2 linked regions of the Pelodiscus sinensis genome follow. The protein of the gene in region 1 purifies or fractionates together with the protein of each later gene. This does not show direct contact. Links are inferred from orthologs where the notes say so. Each region holds a gene or a part of one and is shown in the gene's direction. Other genes may lie near its edges.

Region 1 (7,933 bases):
AGGCTTAATTTGACCAAATTTGGGTAGATTTTGATGGGGTTAACAAAACATTTGGCACATTTGCCAAACACAACTACTCATTTCTTTCCCCTTTCTGTCTCTGTATCAGAGGCAGCAAGGGGAGGAAAGCAGGAATTGTTGTTGGGGGGAGCCGTCTTAAAAGCAGATTCCCCCTAGCACCGTGTATGCCAGGCACGGGCAATACTTTTTGAAGGGGGCTGGCCATGTCACACATTTCTGAAGTGGTCGCAGGCCACCCTGGAAAAGGTTGGGACTTGGGCAGAAGAGGCATGGCCAGGAAGCTTCCTGTGCTCCTCCCACTCAAAACCCTGATTGGCCTGGGGGCAGAGGGAGCACATGAAGTCTGCCCCATCCCTCCTCCCCCGCCACCACCCAGAGAAAACTGCCAGCTCCCCCATCCCCAGGTCTCAACTGGCCTGGGGAGCGGCAGGGTGGCTGCAGGCCGGATCAGCCAGCTTGGTGGGCCAGATTTGGAGGGCCTGTGAGATCTGAGGGGGAGTTTGAATGAGGCAGTTGTGACCTGCGGCATGGGATTGGAATGCAGGGGTCTGGGTTGTGAGCTAGGGCAGGGGACTGGAATGCAAGAGGAGGTACAGGGGTTTGGGCTGTGACCTAGGGCAGGAGGGAATTGTGATCTGGGGCAGGGGATTGGGGTGCTTGGTTTGGGAAGTGGTATGGGCTCAGAAGGGTGGCAGAGGATTTGGCCTATGTGGAGTACGGGGTGGTAGGAGTGGAGGGGAGGGAAATAGGGCTCGGGAGGAGGGAAGACCTGGGGACTTACCAGTGAGACTCCTGGCCAACAGCCCAGCTTGTTTCTCAGGCATGAGTCTGCCCTGCCCCTGCATAGACTGCAAGGCCATGTGCTCTGTGAATAAGAGCCTGAGTGGAGGGGGGATTAGTGGTTTGCTTGCTGCCTATTTTTCAAACAGCCAACTTCCATTTGCCAGAAACCAGCCAATGGGATTGTACTGAGGGCAGAAGCAGCCATGAAGCACCACTGCCCCCTCCTTTCCAGACTCAGTTTGTGGAACACAAATGGCCCTGCAGCTGCTTTTCTGAGTGGTGTGCGGGGATGAGGCAAGCAGGCGACCCTGAGACTTCCCGCTGCATCCATGGGCTGGATCCAGTGGCGTGGCAGGCCAGATCTGACCCGCGAAGGGTGTTTTTCCTAGGACTTGTCTACATGGTGCAGAGGTGGGGGGCTCACACCAGGTCCTGGACTGCTGCATGTCCATCTTTTAAATGTAGTAGTAAGAGCCTGGTGGCTCTTGCTACATTTAAAAGGCAGAGCTGCAGCAGGCATCGTTCTTGGACCCCACCTCACCTTATCGACTAATTGTGTAATCGATACAAACTGTACTGACTACACAATTAGTCAATTACCCGCTTCTTAACATCCTTACCCTGTGCTACAACAAAAAGAAAAGCAATGCTGGGCAAAGTTCTTTCACACATTGTACCAGAAGGAAAGGGAGGAGAACAAAAAATTGGGTCTACCCATAGATCTGTCACTTATAAAATAAGTTCCATTTTATACGTGGCCTAGACCCCTTTACAAATCTGCCAGTTCTACATGAGGCTGCATTCCACACGTGGCAAGGACACCACCCCCACCCCAAAAATGATAGTCAAAACACTTCAAGATGCAGAAGAGGAAATCTTTGCAGTGCCCTGAAAGAAGAATGGAAATAGAGAGGAGTATGTAGACCCTTCAAAGAATGACCAGCACTTCAATGTTTTAATTTAATTTATAATAAAAGCTTTTTTTTTTTTTTTTTAAGAAGTTGATAGCATATATTTTCTTACTTATCTGGACAAAGTTCTCACTTTTCAGGATGAATGAATTTTTCAAACCACAATGTCATCAACAACTGTTGAGATCTAGCACCATCAAAACAACCAAGTGACCCTGATCTGAACTCTTCTGAACTTTCATTACATTGACAAGCACAGCCCTCTACAAATGGCTGTCCATGATCATCAGGAACTTTAAAGGTTTCTTAATCAACTTTTCCAAAAATTGCATTACAGTCTTAAAAGTTAACTTGCTACACAAGCTCACCTTTGCCTATTTTGCATAATTTGAATTGATTGCAATAGCACTGTGTATATGCATTTTGCATCAGACAGAAGAACGCAACACAAAATATTGTTCTTTGAATGCAGCTGAATATTCCCAGCACAAACTACATTTAGAACTGTACTTGTATGGCTAGGTCAGTTATGGGTGTAATATTTTATAGCTATAGTTAAATGGGTTTAACCTCACTATTTATGAAATTATACTGCCTGACATAAACACTGCTTATTCTCCTTCCTGTACAGCAAGGGTGGCCAACCCAAGGCTTGCGAGCCACATATGGCTCTTCTTCCCCCCCCCCAACCCCGGGTGCAGCTCATGAAGCCTCCCCCTGCCCCCATGGCTCGAAAGCCTCCCCCACGCCCCTAAAAAAAGGCCTCTCCTCCCAGCTTCCTGTGCTGACCTGGGCAGGGGAGCTGTCTGGTGCAGCCATGAAAGCAACAGAAATAAAGATGGCGGCAGGTGGCGGGAGCCTGCTGTGGCCCAAAAGCTTCAAAACGCGTTTCAATGCGGTTTCTTAAAGGGGCAGAGCCTTTTTTTAAAGAGGTGTTTTTTTTTTTTTTTTGCTTGACCAAACATGACCAGGGGCTCGTTTTAAAGGGGCAATCTTTTTTTTTTTCCCCCCTCCTCTACAACTTTGCCCCTTTCAACTCTTTGTGCTGGATCCACTGCTATCTTGGCTCTTTGCCCAGAATGGGCTGGTCACCCATGTTGTACAGGAATAAACTATATTAATATCACACTGAGTGCTAGAGGGGCTGTAAATGTTTGTTTACACACAGGATCGTACTGACTTTGGACAAGCAAGGATTTACAAACAATTTCGCAAACTGTTTGTTTTTAGCATTCTAACTTTTGACCAATTCATCCACTTTAACTCATATTCCAGGGATTCACATGACAAAATATCCTATTAGTCCGCATAGGAGGATCAAAGTTTTTCCACCTTCAGCCTCCTCTTGTAACTAATGATTCTCCACAACTTCACTTTCTATCCCAGCATTCTATCTGCGTCATATAGCCGCTTTAGTTTGTACCACTTCTAATGCAGCACACTACAGCATCACCCAACTTAGCATCTGTCATTTGTTTGGAGGGACATTATTTGATTATCGTGACTCCATTATCCACCCTTTTCCAGCATAATTCACTGAATTCTAAAGGACTAGCATAGCAGTAAAGAACAAACCCTTAAAGATAATACTTCACACTGCGTAATATCTTTCAACCCAGTATTTCAAAGTATTTTCTCATTTTTAAGTATTCTTATTTTAAATCTAGCTCAAGGTGATGAGTGATGTTTGGATTGTTTCAGTAACAACTTTCCCAGACATAAATTGTCTCAGCTTGGAAAACCATGTTTCCAGACAGTCCTGACATCTCCCCTTCCCATCTACCTCCACAAAACCCCAAACAAAAGGCAAACAACCTGCCTTACCTGTTTCATTAGGTTGCCCCATTCTTGAGAGCAGCAGTAAAAATCAAACTAAACAACTTACAGACTAACACAATGAACTCATACAGCATCATGACACAACAATTTTATTCCAGAGAACAAAACCTAAAAAATTCAGCCAAATCAAAGGTGTCATCTTCATTTAATTAGAAAAAGTTAACTTTAAAATACATAAGAGAAGAGGGATTGGGAGACAAGTCTAAGATTGTGTCAATACTAGCATTTTTCTTTAGATCTCCATCACTGACTGACCTGAGTCAGTGAGAGCAAGAATCATCAATAACAGAGGTGGACTGCTGGTACCATTTCAACTGCCATGTCATCCGACCCTGCTCATAACAGGTCAAGCCAATCTGGTGGTTAAAACACCAGTGGCCACCTGGAGCTCTATTTCCAATAACCCACGTTTCCACCACTGCAAAGTTTCCACGAAAAAGTTCAAACCACGCCCGAGAGAAAAGGCAGGTTGGGCTCCAAGAGCATGGATGGGAATGAGGGGCTTGCTGGGAAGGAATACGGGCTACAACTAATGTGAAGGGGCCGACAAGGGAAGCTGTGTGGCAATAGGGATTCAGGAGGGCAGGTCGTGAGCTAGGGGCGTCGGATACAGCGGAAAGGAACGAACGAGCATGAAGGGTCCGGGGATAGACAGCAATGACAAGAGGGCCCGGATAAATAGCATGGGGACCAGCGCACGGGGGAGATGAGAGCGAGGGTGTGTCACAAGGCCAACCCTCGGAGTGAGGCGCTGGGGAGGCAGGAGAAACGGGGCCCAAGCAAGGACAGGTCTGGGGAGAACGGAGCGCGCAGAAGAGGATCGCGACCAGTAGTGAGATGGGTGTGAGACGAGGCTCGGCCGCTGCCCGCAGACCAGCAGCGGTGGCGCAGGTCGGAAATAACGGTATGGCTCGCTTGGGACGGGTGCTCCCCGCTCGGCGGCCGCAGGTAGAGCCCCCAGCCCCCGTACCTCGAACATAAGCCCCAGCAGGAAGCCCATAGCCAGGCAGGACACGGCGTCCGCATGGTTCTGGATCACGAATTCATGGCTCAGCACAGCTGGGCTCTTGTTCTTCCTTCGGAGTCCCATGGTAACCCCCGAGGGCCTAGCAGCCGGCCGGGTCCAGGAAAGAGGTGGTGATTCTTCCTCAACAGCCCCCTCACCTCACGCACAGTAAACACCCCGGCTTTTCGCCGCCCGCCCACAGCTCAGCATCAGCCAGTCTCAATCCAGGAGCACAATGATTGACAGTTGTCCTGGTTAATCGCCGTGCCACTGGGAGGTGTGGCTTTCAGAGAGGGGCGGGGCAAAAGTCGCCGTTTGATTCTCGGAATAGCTCTCGCGGTCCCCAGGAGTGACACCGACTCCAGCTAATGAGATGAGCCAGAGGGTGGGGCATGTGACTCCGCCTGCGGTGGGTGGGCTTTACAGAAGACAACTAATGCAACCCTTTGGAGGGGAGGGCGGAAGCGGGGTTGTCGCGGTTGCTAAGGTTTCCACTCCGTTTTGTGGGTGGAGCTCGGAGCGGTAGCGCGCGCTGCTTGAGGTGCTGCTGCTATTGGCGTGGCGGCGGTAGGCCTCTGCGCGCCGTGCTTCAGTCCTACCAGCCAGTGGCTCTAATGGAGATGACAGGTCCTAGTAGGTCCCGCTCCGTCCTGGTTCCGATGCTGGGGTGCCTCTTCTGGAGCTGACAGACCCATACGAGTGGGAGGCGGCTCTATGGAGAAGGCAGGTTTCAATAGGCACCGCATTGTCGTCGTCGCGGCCGGCTGGCTGTCAGTCGTGTGAACTGAGTGGCTTCGCTCAGGTCCCTGGAAGTGGTGCTTTGTCGTAGCGTGTCAGTCGCAGCATCCAGGACGGAAGGCCAACCGCGTAGCCCAGAAACAAAGAGTTGCAGGCTGGGGTGGAAAGCTCTTGTATCTTTGTAGTGGCTGCGGTGCTGCCCCTCAGACCTGGCTGAAAAATGGAGGGTGCGGGGAGTCTGAATGGAGACTAATTTTCTCACATGGAGGGAGGAACTTTCATTAAGATGCCAGGGGTCTTTATTCCCTCATCTACTCAAAAATTCATTGAAACTTTCAGGAGTTTCCATGGGCAGTACTGTTGGTCAGTAAGGTAGAGGGAACTTTCTGGAATTTCCTATGCTGAAATAAGGGAAATCATTGTTAATGGCCTGAGGAAACAAACAATGGAATTTTGAAAGGGCGTCCTAGAGAATGGCCTGAAATGATGGGTTCTTCATCAGAATCTTGAAAGAATTCAGGTGACAGAAAAATAAAAGGTGTTTGGCCTCATCCTCTAATCCAATGCGTGTAGCTGGAAACTTTGAATCCACGCTGAACTGGAATTGACTACAGTAAACTGTGACTAGTCCTGCAGTACATTAGAGTCTAACAAAAAATGTAGCTGGTATCATGAGCTTTTGTGGGCACAACCCACTTCTTCAGATGTGGCAAGCTCCACCTGCATGGATCAAATTGCAGAAAGGAATTTAAGTGGGGAGTGAAAACTTAGTATTTGTGACAGGAAAAAGCAGTCCTAAAGTTAGTATCACTTTTCACATCATTTATTACTTAGCAAATGTTGCATAAATTCCAATTAATATAAAATAACTTATAAAATAACTCCCTAAAATTACTTTTTACTTGATCTCAGTGATATTCCTAGGAATATTCAATTACTACATTTTTAAATAAATCCAGTTTGGACACGTTCAAGCTGAGAATGTTAAAATGAGTGTATTCAGCTAAATGTGTAACCACTGACATTTTCAATGGTTACACATCTAAAGGGGGGAGGGGAGGCAGCAGGGTGGGGGCTCTGTGTAACCGTTGAGGTTACCTGATGAGCCCATGCTCATCGGTTAACTGACATATTGACACTACCACTTAACCTAGTTCAGGCCCCATTTTTGCTCTCTGTCAAAGTTTCAGGCATATGTAGTGCAGGAAACTGAATTTCATGTTTATATTCACTTCAAAAGTATTTGTATCATTTGTTTGGGAATCAGAAACAGCATGTGTTACTTGACTCATTGTCAAGTACTCTCAGTGAACTTTTTATAAATCATGATCAATTTACAGTGAAAAATATTTGGAACCTTTTGTTCTGATACCAATTCTTGCAATTTAATCACAAGTCTGGTGATATTTAGTGTTTTTCTTTAAGATCCAGCTCCTTTACATTTAAGAATCTCAGGTTTTCTGAAGGTTTTTTTTTAAACTTCTATGATTGAACAAAAAGCTGTGAAAGGTGAACCCCAATGACTCGAAGCTAATAAAAAGGCCTAATATTATTTTAAAAATTATTTTAGTTAAATTTGTGGGGGGCCTAATGTATGACATTTGAGCATTTAGAGTGGGTGTACTAAATATATCTGAGGAAAACCACTCACTGCGTTTCTGCTAATGGAAGACAAGCCTGAACTTATGCAATAAATTATTTATTACAAAATAATAAATATTTTATTATTTATTCAGCTGTACTGAAGACAGTACTGTAACTATTTTAAATGTAGTTTTGTGACGTAATTAATTTTTAGCATCAAAGCAACTAGTAAGTGAGCTTCAAAATAAAGTTGTTTCTGGGTTTGAGCCAGGATGAGGTTGCTAATATTGTCTTGGTATGCAGAATGAACAGTGTCTTTCTGTGAAACTTTAACATGATACAATAGCAATTGGTCATATTCTGCTATGCATGAGTAAGTAGAAAGGATTAATAATGAAATTGTTCTGACCTAGTAAAAAAAAGTCAGTGACATTTTCCCAGGGTAAATTATGGGATGGGATTCTGTATGCTTTTTCAGGCATCGGATATACTTTTCAGTACTTGGCATTTTTATTTGTAAAGTTAATGTAAGATTTACTGGCTGCCTCTGGCATTATCACATACAGTAAAGAATGCATTAGCTGAATTTAACCGACAATTTGCTAGATGATGCTAGAGACAGAATATAATATATATTGTTCTTTGTTAGCTGTATTGGGTCTAAAAAAAAGGAAATGAAACCTGTATTTTTCCTTAATTCATATGCTGATATTTGACAGACAACGGAATCAGATGATTAAGGAAGAGACTTTTTTTTACAAATATATCCCCAGGTGCTTCAACATACTGTGGGGACAATCTGTAAAATGGGAAGATGAACTGATTTCACTGGGTCATCTGCCAGCTCCTCATGGGTCTATACTGGCAGAATTTTTCCATTATTGATGCCTACCTCTTCTGACCATTTCCAGATTTGAATAGTCTTGTATTTATTTAAGTCATGTAAAACTGCAGTGTTATTTCACAAACAATATGTACATAAGAACATAAGAACGGCCGTACTGGGTCAGACCAAAGGTCCTTCTAGCCCTGTCTGCTGACACTGGCCAGC
Region 2 (7,392 bases), on another chromosome or scaffold:
ATAGGGCAGGTAATCATACATCCTACATTGGGTACAATGAACAGGATGGCTCCCACTTTGCTGCTGGGCTTGTGCCTATGACCTCTCCTGTAGGTAATTAGATTCTTGATAGGTTTTTTTTTATTACAATCGGGTAGTTTTGGTTTTAGTTTGAAAGAAGTGTTAAAGAATGCCAAGTGTAGCTAGCCCCCTTCAAACTCTCCCTCTAAACGCCCTCACAAAACTCCCTGAAAGCTGCTCCCATTAGCTAAGCTCCCTGGTCACTTACTAGCTCTGGCCTTCCTGATAGCCCTGCCCCCTGGTTAAGGCCTGATGAATGGACAAAGTGTTAGGTTTCAAAGCCTTCTTAACAAGCATACAGCTTCCAACTGCCGGCCTCAGCACATGGTCCTTCAAATAAACAGCTCACAGACATCCAAAGAGACAGAAAAGCACACGTTCAGCACAGAGTATCTTTCAGGCAACCAGGAAGTATCCCCCAAACACAAACACACACACTACAGCCAGCCACTTACCCCAAGGGTCCCATAATTGCTTCTCCTTCACCTGGAGAAATCCCTCATGAAACTCCATTAGCTACACTATGATGTCAAATAAAAGGCCTGTTTTGTTGACTTTGCAAAATGGAGCTGTAAGCTGATCTCAGGGACTCAGAGCTAAATCCAGAGCCACCACACTGTTGTCAATCCCGGGCTAGGTTCTGTATTCACTGAATTCAGAGTGACACCACTGTTGTCAATGGACACGTTCTGATCTCACTTCCTATGAGGTAAATTTGGAGTCAGGGCTAGACTCTGATCTTACCTATGTTTACACGGTCAATTAGGAAATCCAGATCTCTTAGGACAATCACTAGAGCCACAAAACAACCAGGGAGGGACCACTATTTATTCTCACTTAAAGATTCCAAATCAAATAGAATCCAAACAAAAACTGAGATTTGTTTCCCCTCCAAATCAGTCAAAATCCCCAGACACCAAAAAACCCGGCCAGCATCTTTTCCTGCTCACACATCTCACTGCTTTCTGAGCAGAAGGGAGAACAGCAACCAGGCCACGTTCCCATCCCTGAATCATCCCATTAAATTACAGGAACAAGAGCTTGTGCATGTTGGCCTAGTCAGCAGATCTGGCATTCTAAGACCGTGAGGATTGCAGAGATGTGTCTCTTCCCTGATAGCTACTGGCCCTTTAAGAAAAATGATGTCATATCAACCAGCCAATCCAGAATTCCAATAGGCCGAATGGTTTGAAGAACTGTAGGCTGAGTGGTTAATGGTGCGGCACAGAGATCCCATTGAGATGCTTCTGGTTCATAGTCAATGTTTTGTCAAGGGTTTGCATCCAACATGTCAAGGAAATCAACTGTCTGGATACTTTCAAGGACTGTGCGTTATTAGTTAATGGTACTCCACAAAGATGACATCATAGGTTAAGGGTCAATACTCATGTAGACATGAGGGATCTGATTGGCTAAAAAGTTTTCCTGGGCTGTAGGTTTGTTGGCTAACAGCGCAGGTATCAGAAATACCAGAGGTTGAATTTCTCAAAAAGCACCTCACCTGGATAATCCAACTGGCTGCATGATTTTAGGGTTGTTAATTGTCTCGGGGGGTTAAAGGTCAGAGTTCATGTAGACATTCCATCCTGGCAATCCAAACAGCTGAACATTGATAGGAATCAGTGAGTGTGAAAGGTTAAAGGTCAAAGTGAATGTAGATGCACCATCCAAGCAATCCCAGTAGCTGAATAACCATCGAGGCTCTTAATCCAGAGTTCAAAGGTCAAGGTTCATGTAGGTGCGCAGATTACGCTCCCAGGCCTGTGCTTTGGCCTCTCTGCGACGGGCCTCTTTCTTCCCCACTGTAGCTGCCCGTTGTGTCCTAGGCTGCTGCTCCCTGGGCTGAGCCACAGCGCTGGGGTCATTAGCGTTGAAATGGGTGACCTTGGGCCGGAGGTCGCTACGGAAGCCCAGGCCCTTCTGGTCCCTCTTGAGGACAGTCTGGACAGGGAATTTACGACCAGTGCCCTCAGGCCCCAGCCCAGCCTCAGCGTCCCAGCCCCCCTTGACCATGAGCTGGAAGCCGACGTTGTTCTCGGGGATGTGGTAGCGGGTGGGAGGCAGTGGGTCGCGCCGATTGAAGAGGTGGGCCGTGGAGCGTTCGTGGAGCTCTACGCTGTCCTCGCTATAATGCATCTTGCACACGGCACAGTATTTCCTCTCTGCTGGAGTCCTCCTGCTAGGGAGACAACAGGGTCAGGGACTACTTGGTTGGCTCAGGGAGATGAGGAACGGGACATAGGGCCTTTCCCCTTTTGGTCCCATCTGGTCCCAACTTGGGGAAACTAGCTAGTTGAGGCAGATGGGGAAGGGGAGACGGGACCTTTCTTCTCTAGAGAGCTCTAGCTCTGATTGGGGTTGGGTCAGGTGAGCAGAACCGAAGACTCACCTGGCCATCCTGCCCTCTGGCTGAGCCGTTTCACGCTCCTGGAGGATCCTCACTACATCCTGGTGCCCGGCTTCCTCGGCTAGGTCCACCGCATCCCGGCCCTGCGACTCGCACACGCCCACCCATGCGGCTCCCCGGGTCAGCAGGTATCTCACGGCCTCCCCCCGGCCTGCATAAGCGGCACACATGACCGCCGTCCAGTAATAACCGTCCCTGTAGTTCACATCGCACCCCTCCTTTTCCAGCAGCCGCCGCAGGGTCCTTGTGTCACCCTCCTGGGCCGATCTCAGCAGCAGGTTCCCACGGCGAGAGTCAGTCTGCCCTGTCTGGGTGGTGGGTGTCTCAGGCACCCTCGGGCGTCTCGGTGGGGCCTTGCGTTTTCGTAGGGGACTCGAGCGGTCACCGGAGGCCAGGACGCTCTCATAGAAGCTCCGGGCTTCCTCGCCTTCCATATCCGCATCCCCTTCCCGGCGTCGGACAGGGCACCCGGCCCGTATCTGGAGCTGCCCATCCTTCCAGAGGTCTGACTCTTCCCGGGCCCGGGTGAAGGAGATGAGCTGGGGGCCGGAGTTCATGGTGGAGACGGGGGGATGGAGGTGGGTCACTGGGCGGCCCCGGTGCACAGGGCGGGATCAGCCTGTTTCCTAGCGGGGAGGGGAACAAGGCCGGCAAAGGTAGGAGGCAGAGCGGTGATTTCCCCGGGGGGGGGGGGCACCAGTGTCCTTGGGGGACCCGCAGACAGGGCCGTGGGGGTGGGGTGCCGGGGGGGGGGTCGGGCGGGGGCCCTAGCGAAATGGGGGCGGGGCCACGAGCCGGGGGGGGGGTTTGAGGAGTGGAGCCGGGTCCCGAGACGGGTGGGGGTGGGGGGTGAGACCAAGAGCCCAGGAGGGGAGTGGGGGCTGGGAGGGGGCGGGGCCAGCTCCTTGAGGGCGGAGCCCGGGTCTGGGGGCGGGGCCAGCTCCTTGAGGGCGGAACCCGGGTCTGGGGGCGGGGCCAGAATCCGGAACGAGCCCCCTGGGGGCGCTGTGGGCGGGGCTAGCGCCCCAGGGGCGGGGCTAAGGGCCAGGGGGCGGGGCGAGCGCCTCGGGGAGCTGTGGGCGGGGCTAGGCCCTGGGGGCGGGGCCAGCCACACTCCCGCCCCTCCCCCCAGACGCCGTCGCGGCCCCACTCACCATAGAGACGCCGGAGGCCGCAGCAGCCGCGCGCCGCCCCCGGGGGCCAAGGGAAGGCGCATGCGCGCGAGGCCGCCGGTGGGGGGGGCAGGGGGGTTCCTGGTTCTAGGCACGCGCATGAGGGGAGCGGCTCGAACGCAGCCTCCCGCCGGCCGGTTACTCTAGGCCGCGACGAGTGACCCGCGACGCGCATGCGCAGTACATCCCCCCCCCCCCGAGGTGCGTGCGCACCGTGTTCCAGACGCGGGAAAAGCAGGCGGGGCGCGTGAGTGACGTCACGTAACGCGTCAGGCGGTGAAGGGAGGAGCCAGGCTCCTGCGCACGGGAGCCCAGTGAAACCGAGCCAGGGGGCGCGCGTGCGAAACCGAAAACAGGCGCATGCGCAGCCCCGTGCTTCGAACCTAGAGGCCAGCACAGCGCATGCGCAAGGGCCCTCGCGCTCTCGCTGGCCTAGTAACGGCCACTGCCCCGCGCGCTTCCCTGCTTCTAGCGTGAGGTGCGCGGTAATCTCATTTGCATATTACCCAGCATGCCTTTCTGCCTCGAACCCAGCCAATTAGCGTCGATTTGTTCCCATTTCAATAGAATTAGATTTAATTTGGGAAGGAATTAATGACAGTAGGATCGGCTCGCAGGCGCGTGACGTCATCCCGACGTCGGTTCATTAACACACCTTCTAATTTACCTCACCCTAACCGGATTACGTCAGAAATAGCCCTACCCGCGACAGGCTAATTAACATATTTGTAATTAACCTGTAGGTCAGCGTAATTAACCCTTCATGGCCGGTACCAATTAACGTGCCGGGGCAGATGAGCACGCGGGGCGCCATGGAGTACAGCAGAGCCAGCACCCGGCGGAGCAGCACCAGCATCAAGGAGGGTAAAGGAAGCCACGCCCCCGGCGGGGAGGCCACGCCCTTTCGTGGGGGCCGGACACTCCCGGAGATGAGGCCACGCCCCCTGCGGGAAATCCCGCCTGTCCCAGTAAGGGGCACGCCCTCACGAGGGTTAGACCACGCCCATTTTGCAGGGACACGCCCGTTTAGGGGAAGCCACGCCCTCTTTGTGTTGGCCCCGCCCTTTAATATGGCAGTTACTCTGGGTGAAGTCTCACCCCATCGGGACAGGCCACGCCCATTTGCGTGCGGACACCCCCCTTTTTGGATAAGCCCCTCCCCTTCGGGTCAGGCCACGCCCATGTCTGATGGCTTTCAGGTGTCCGGGCCCCTCCCCCATGCGTCTGGCTCCGGTCTGCTCCTAAGAGACGGCGGGGGGGGGAAGACCGCTCCTCCCATTATGCTCTGCGGCCCCTCCTCTCGCCCCTCCTCTGGGCTTCGTAGTTTCCCGCTCCCCCGCCCTCCAATCCCGGCAATGAGGCTCGGGCGGCGACAGAACTACAACTCCCAAGCGGCCTTGCGGCGCCTCCCCCGGCTTCCTCCCGTCCCGCCTATCGCGTTCAAACATGGCGGCTGTAGTTCGCGCGGGGAGCTGCGGGACTACAACTCCCAGGAGGCCTTGCGGCGCCCGGCTGCGCACGCAGCCGCTTCTCTGTCTGTCATGGCGGGTGTAGTCTGTGAGCATCCTGCCGCCCGTTCGTTCTAATGGCCCTAGGGGCACTCCGGGACTACGATTCCCATGCTGCTTTGCGGCTCCGCGGGGTCCCCTCCTGCCGTACGCCCGTAGTACCGTCGGGTCCCGCTGCCCATGCGTCCCAATGCGGTTCGGGCGGCTGGAGAACTGCAACTCCCGTCGTGCATCGCGGCCTCCCATCACCCCCCGCGCCCGCTGCCCCCGCTTTGCATGGTGGGAGCGGTAGTTCCGCGCTGGCCCCGCGTCCCTGGACTCCTATGGAGGCGGCGGTGGCTGCGAACTCCATCTCCCGTCATGCCCCGCGCGCTGGGAGGGGGCCGGAAGCGAGGCCTGTGCACGTCTGGCAGCGCTTGTTTGCACTCGCTGCCGGGCACCGCCTGCTGCCGAGCGGGGCTGAGCGCGCGGGGGTGAGTGTCCTGCGCCCTGGTGCGAAGAGGGGCGGGGGGTGGACTGCCCTTGTGCAAAGGGCCGGCCGCGCCGTAGTGCAAGGGGGGGCTTCTACCCTAGTGCAAAGGGGGGGCGGGGAGTCTGCCGTAGTGCAAAGTGGGGGTGGGGGTGTGCTGTAGCACAAGGGAGGCCGGGGTGTCTGCCCTAGTGCAGTGGGGGGCGGGGGGATTTGCTCCTCGTGTAAAGAGGGAAGAGGGCCTTCTCCTAGTGCAAAGGTGGGGGGGGCTGCCCCTACTGGAAGGCATGGCGGGGGGATTTGCACCCTAGTGCAAAGAGGGGGAATTTTCACCCTAATGCAAAGGGGGGGGAGCCTGCCCTTAGAGGCCGGAGGTGATTTGCATCCTAGTGGAAAGAGGGGAGGGGGCCTAATCCAACGGGTGTAAGAGTGTGTGTTCTGTCCCCAGTGCAAAGGGTGTGTGTGTGGGGGGGGTCTGTCCCTAGCACAAAGGGGGGGGCATGTGCTCACTAGAGCGAAGGGGGCATGTGGCAGGGTCATCTGCCTTCTTAGTATCAAGCTGGGGAGGAGGGAGCTGTGCAGCGGGAGGGCAAGGGGGCCCAGACCCACACAATGATGAGCGGTCTGCCCTTGTGCAAAGAGGGGAGGAGGGTGGGGGCATTTGTGCCCCAGTGCAAAGGGGGAGTATTTATCCCTCATCTCTGCCCGTGCCATGGGAGGACGAGTTAAAGATACAATGGGGGAAGGGCCATTCACCCTTCATGCCCCACCCCAGAGCCAGCTGCATCTCAGTGCCGAGAGAGGGGTCCCTGTAGAACTGCCCCTCTCCCTCCCCGTGTCCCACCCCAGAGGGGGCGCATCTGAACGCTGTCTGAGGGGGCTGCTCCTGAGGGGGCTGCTCCTGAGGGGACACGTGAGGGGACACGTCACAGCACTGGCTGCACGGTCTGTAGTGGGAGCGGCGTGTGGGGCTGCCAGCCAAGCCCGAGCCACGTTCACCGCACACACGGGTAGCCTGACGCGCCCCCCCCCCCCCCCCTCTGCAGAGGACGGGAAGATGAGCAGTTCCGAAGAGGTCTCCTGGATTTCCTGGTTCTGTGGCCTGCGTGGAAATGAGTTCTTCTGTGAGGTGAGTGGTGCCTAGTGGTTGGAGCCAGAGTGCCTGGGTTCTCTGCCTGGCTCTGGGAGAGGAAGCAACTGGGAGCCAGGACTTGTCCTGACCATGGGAGGAGAGTGGGGTCTAGTGGTTGGAGCATGGGGGGAGGAGGGCCTGGGAGTCCGGACACCTGGGTTCTCAGCCCGTCTCCCTCCCCCGCAGGTGGATGAGGACTATATCCAGGACAAGTTTAACCTGACGGGGCTGAATGAGCAAGTCCCCCATTACCGCCAGGCGCTCGACATGATCCTCGACTTGGAGCCAGGTACTAGGTGGGGGTCCCAGGGCTGAGGAGGGGTCTCGGTCTGAGCCCCTGACCCGTCACCAGCCCCCTGCCAGCTTTGTGTGAGTCCTCGTCTCCTTCCACCCTGCTGCCGCTCCCCGCCCCTCTGAATGGGCCGGCATGTCGAAGCCAGACAGCTGCCCCTTCGCACGACTGCCGGCCCAGGATGCGTGCGGCACAGTTGTGTGAGCAGCAGGGTGTGTCTTGCCCAAGCGTGGGGGACAGGTGTGCGTGTCCATTTCAAAGTTGTCCGTCGCAGGGTGTTTGTGTGGTGCACAGGCATGAAGGATGGGATGTGTGCCTCTTGCACACACGTGGAGGAGGGTTGTGTGTGGAT

Evidence for each region. The genes of interacting proteins can lie anywhere in the genome.
Region 2: the proteins of ZMYND8 (region 1) and CSNK2B purify together in Homo sapiens (affinity purification with mass spectrometry; 3 studies listed by BioGRID and IntAct, with this or other methods). This does not show direct contact. The link is inferred for Pelodiscus sinensis from reciprocal best matches to the Homo sapiens genes ZMYND8 and CSNK2B.

The regions. Positions count from the first base shown.
Region 1 is NC_134728.1:21,914,267-21,922,199, forward strand, and holds the start of ZMYND8 (MYND-type zinc finger-containing chromatin reader ZMYND8), read left to right. Parts: upstream 1-4,918; 5' UTR 4,919-4,933; coding exon 4,934-4,969; intron 4,970-5,077; exon of another isoform or gene 5,078-5,274; coding exon of another isoform or gene 5,275-5,283; intron 5,284-7,933. Other genes in the region: translocating chain-associated membrane protein 1-like 1, read right to left, coding at 4,525-4,644. UniProt on the Homo sapiens protein: Chromatin reader that recognizes dual histone modifications such as histone H3.1 dimethylated at 'Lys-36' and histone H4 acetylated at 'Lys-16' (H3.1K36me2-H4K16ac) and histone H3 methylated at 'Lys-4' and histone H4 acetylated at 'Lys-14' (H3K4me1-H3K14ac).
Region 2 is NW_027466017.1:275,602-282,993, reverse strand, and holds the start of CSNK2B (casein kinase II subunit beta), read left to right. Parts: upstream 1-4,382; 5' UTR 4,383-4,433; coding exon 4,434-4,503; intron 4,504-5,484; exon of another isoform or gene 5,485-5,620; intron 5,621-6,662; coding exon 6,663-6,745; intron 6,746-6,934; coding exon 6,935-7,037; intron 7,038-7,392. Other genes in the region: GPANK1 (G patch domain and ankyrin repeat-containing protein 1), read right to left, coding at 1,777-2,239, 2,450-3,024. UniProt on the Homo sapiens protein: Regulatory subunit of casein kinase II/CK2.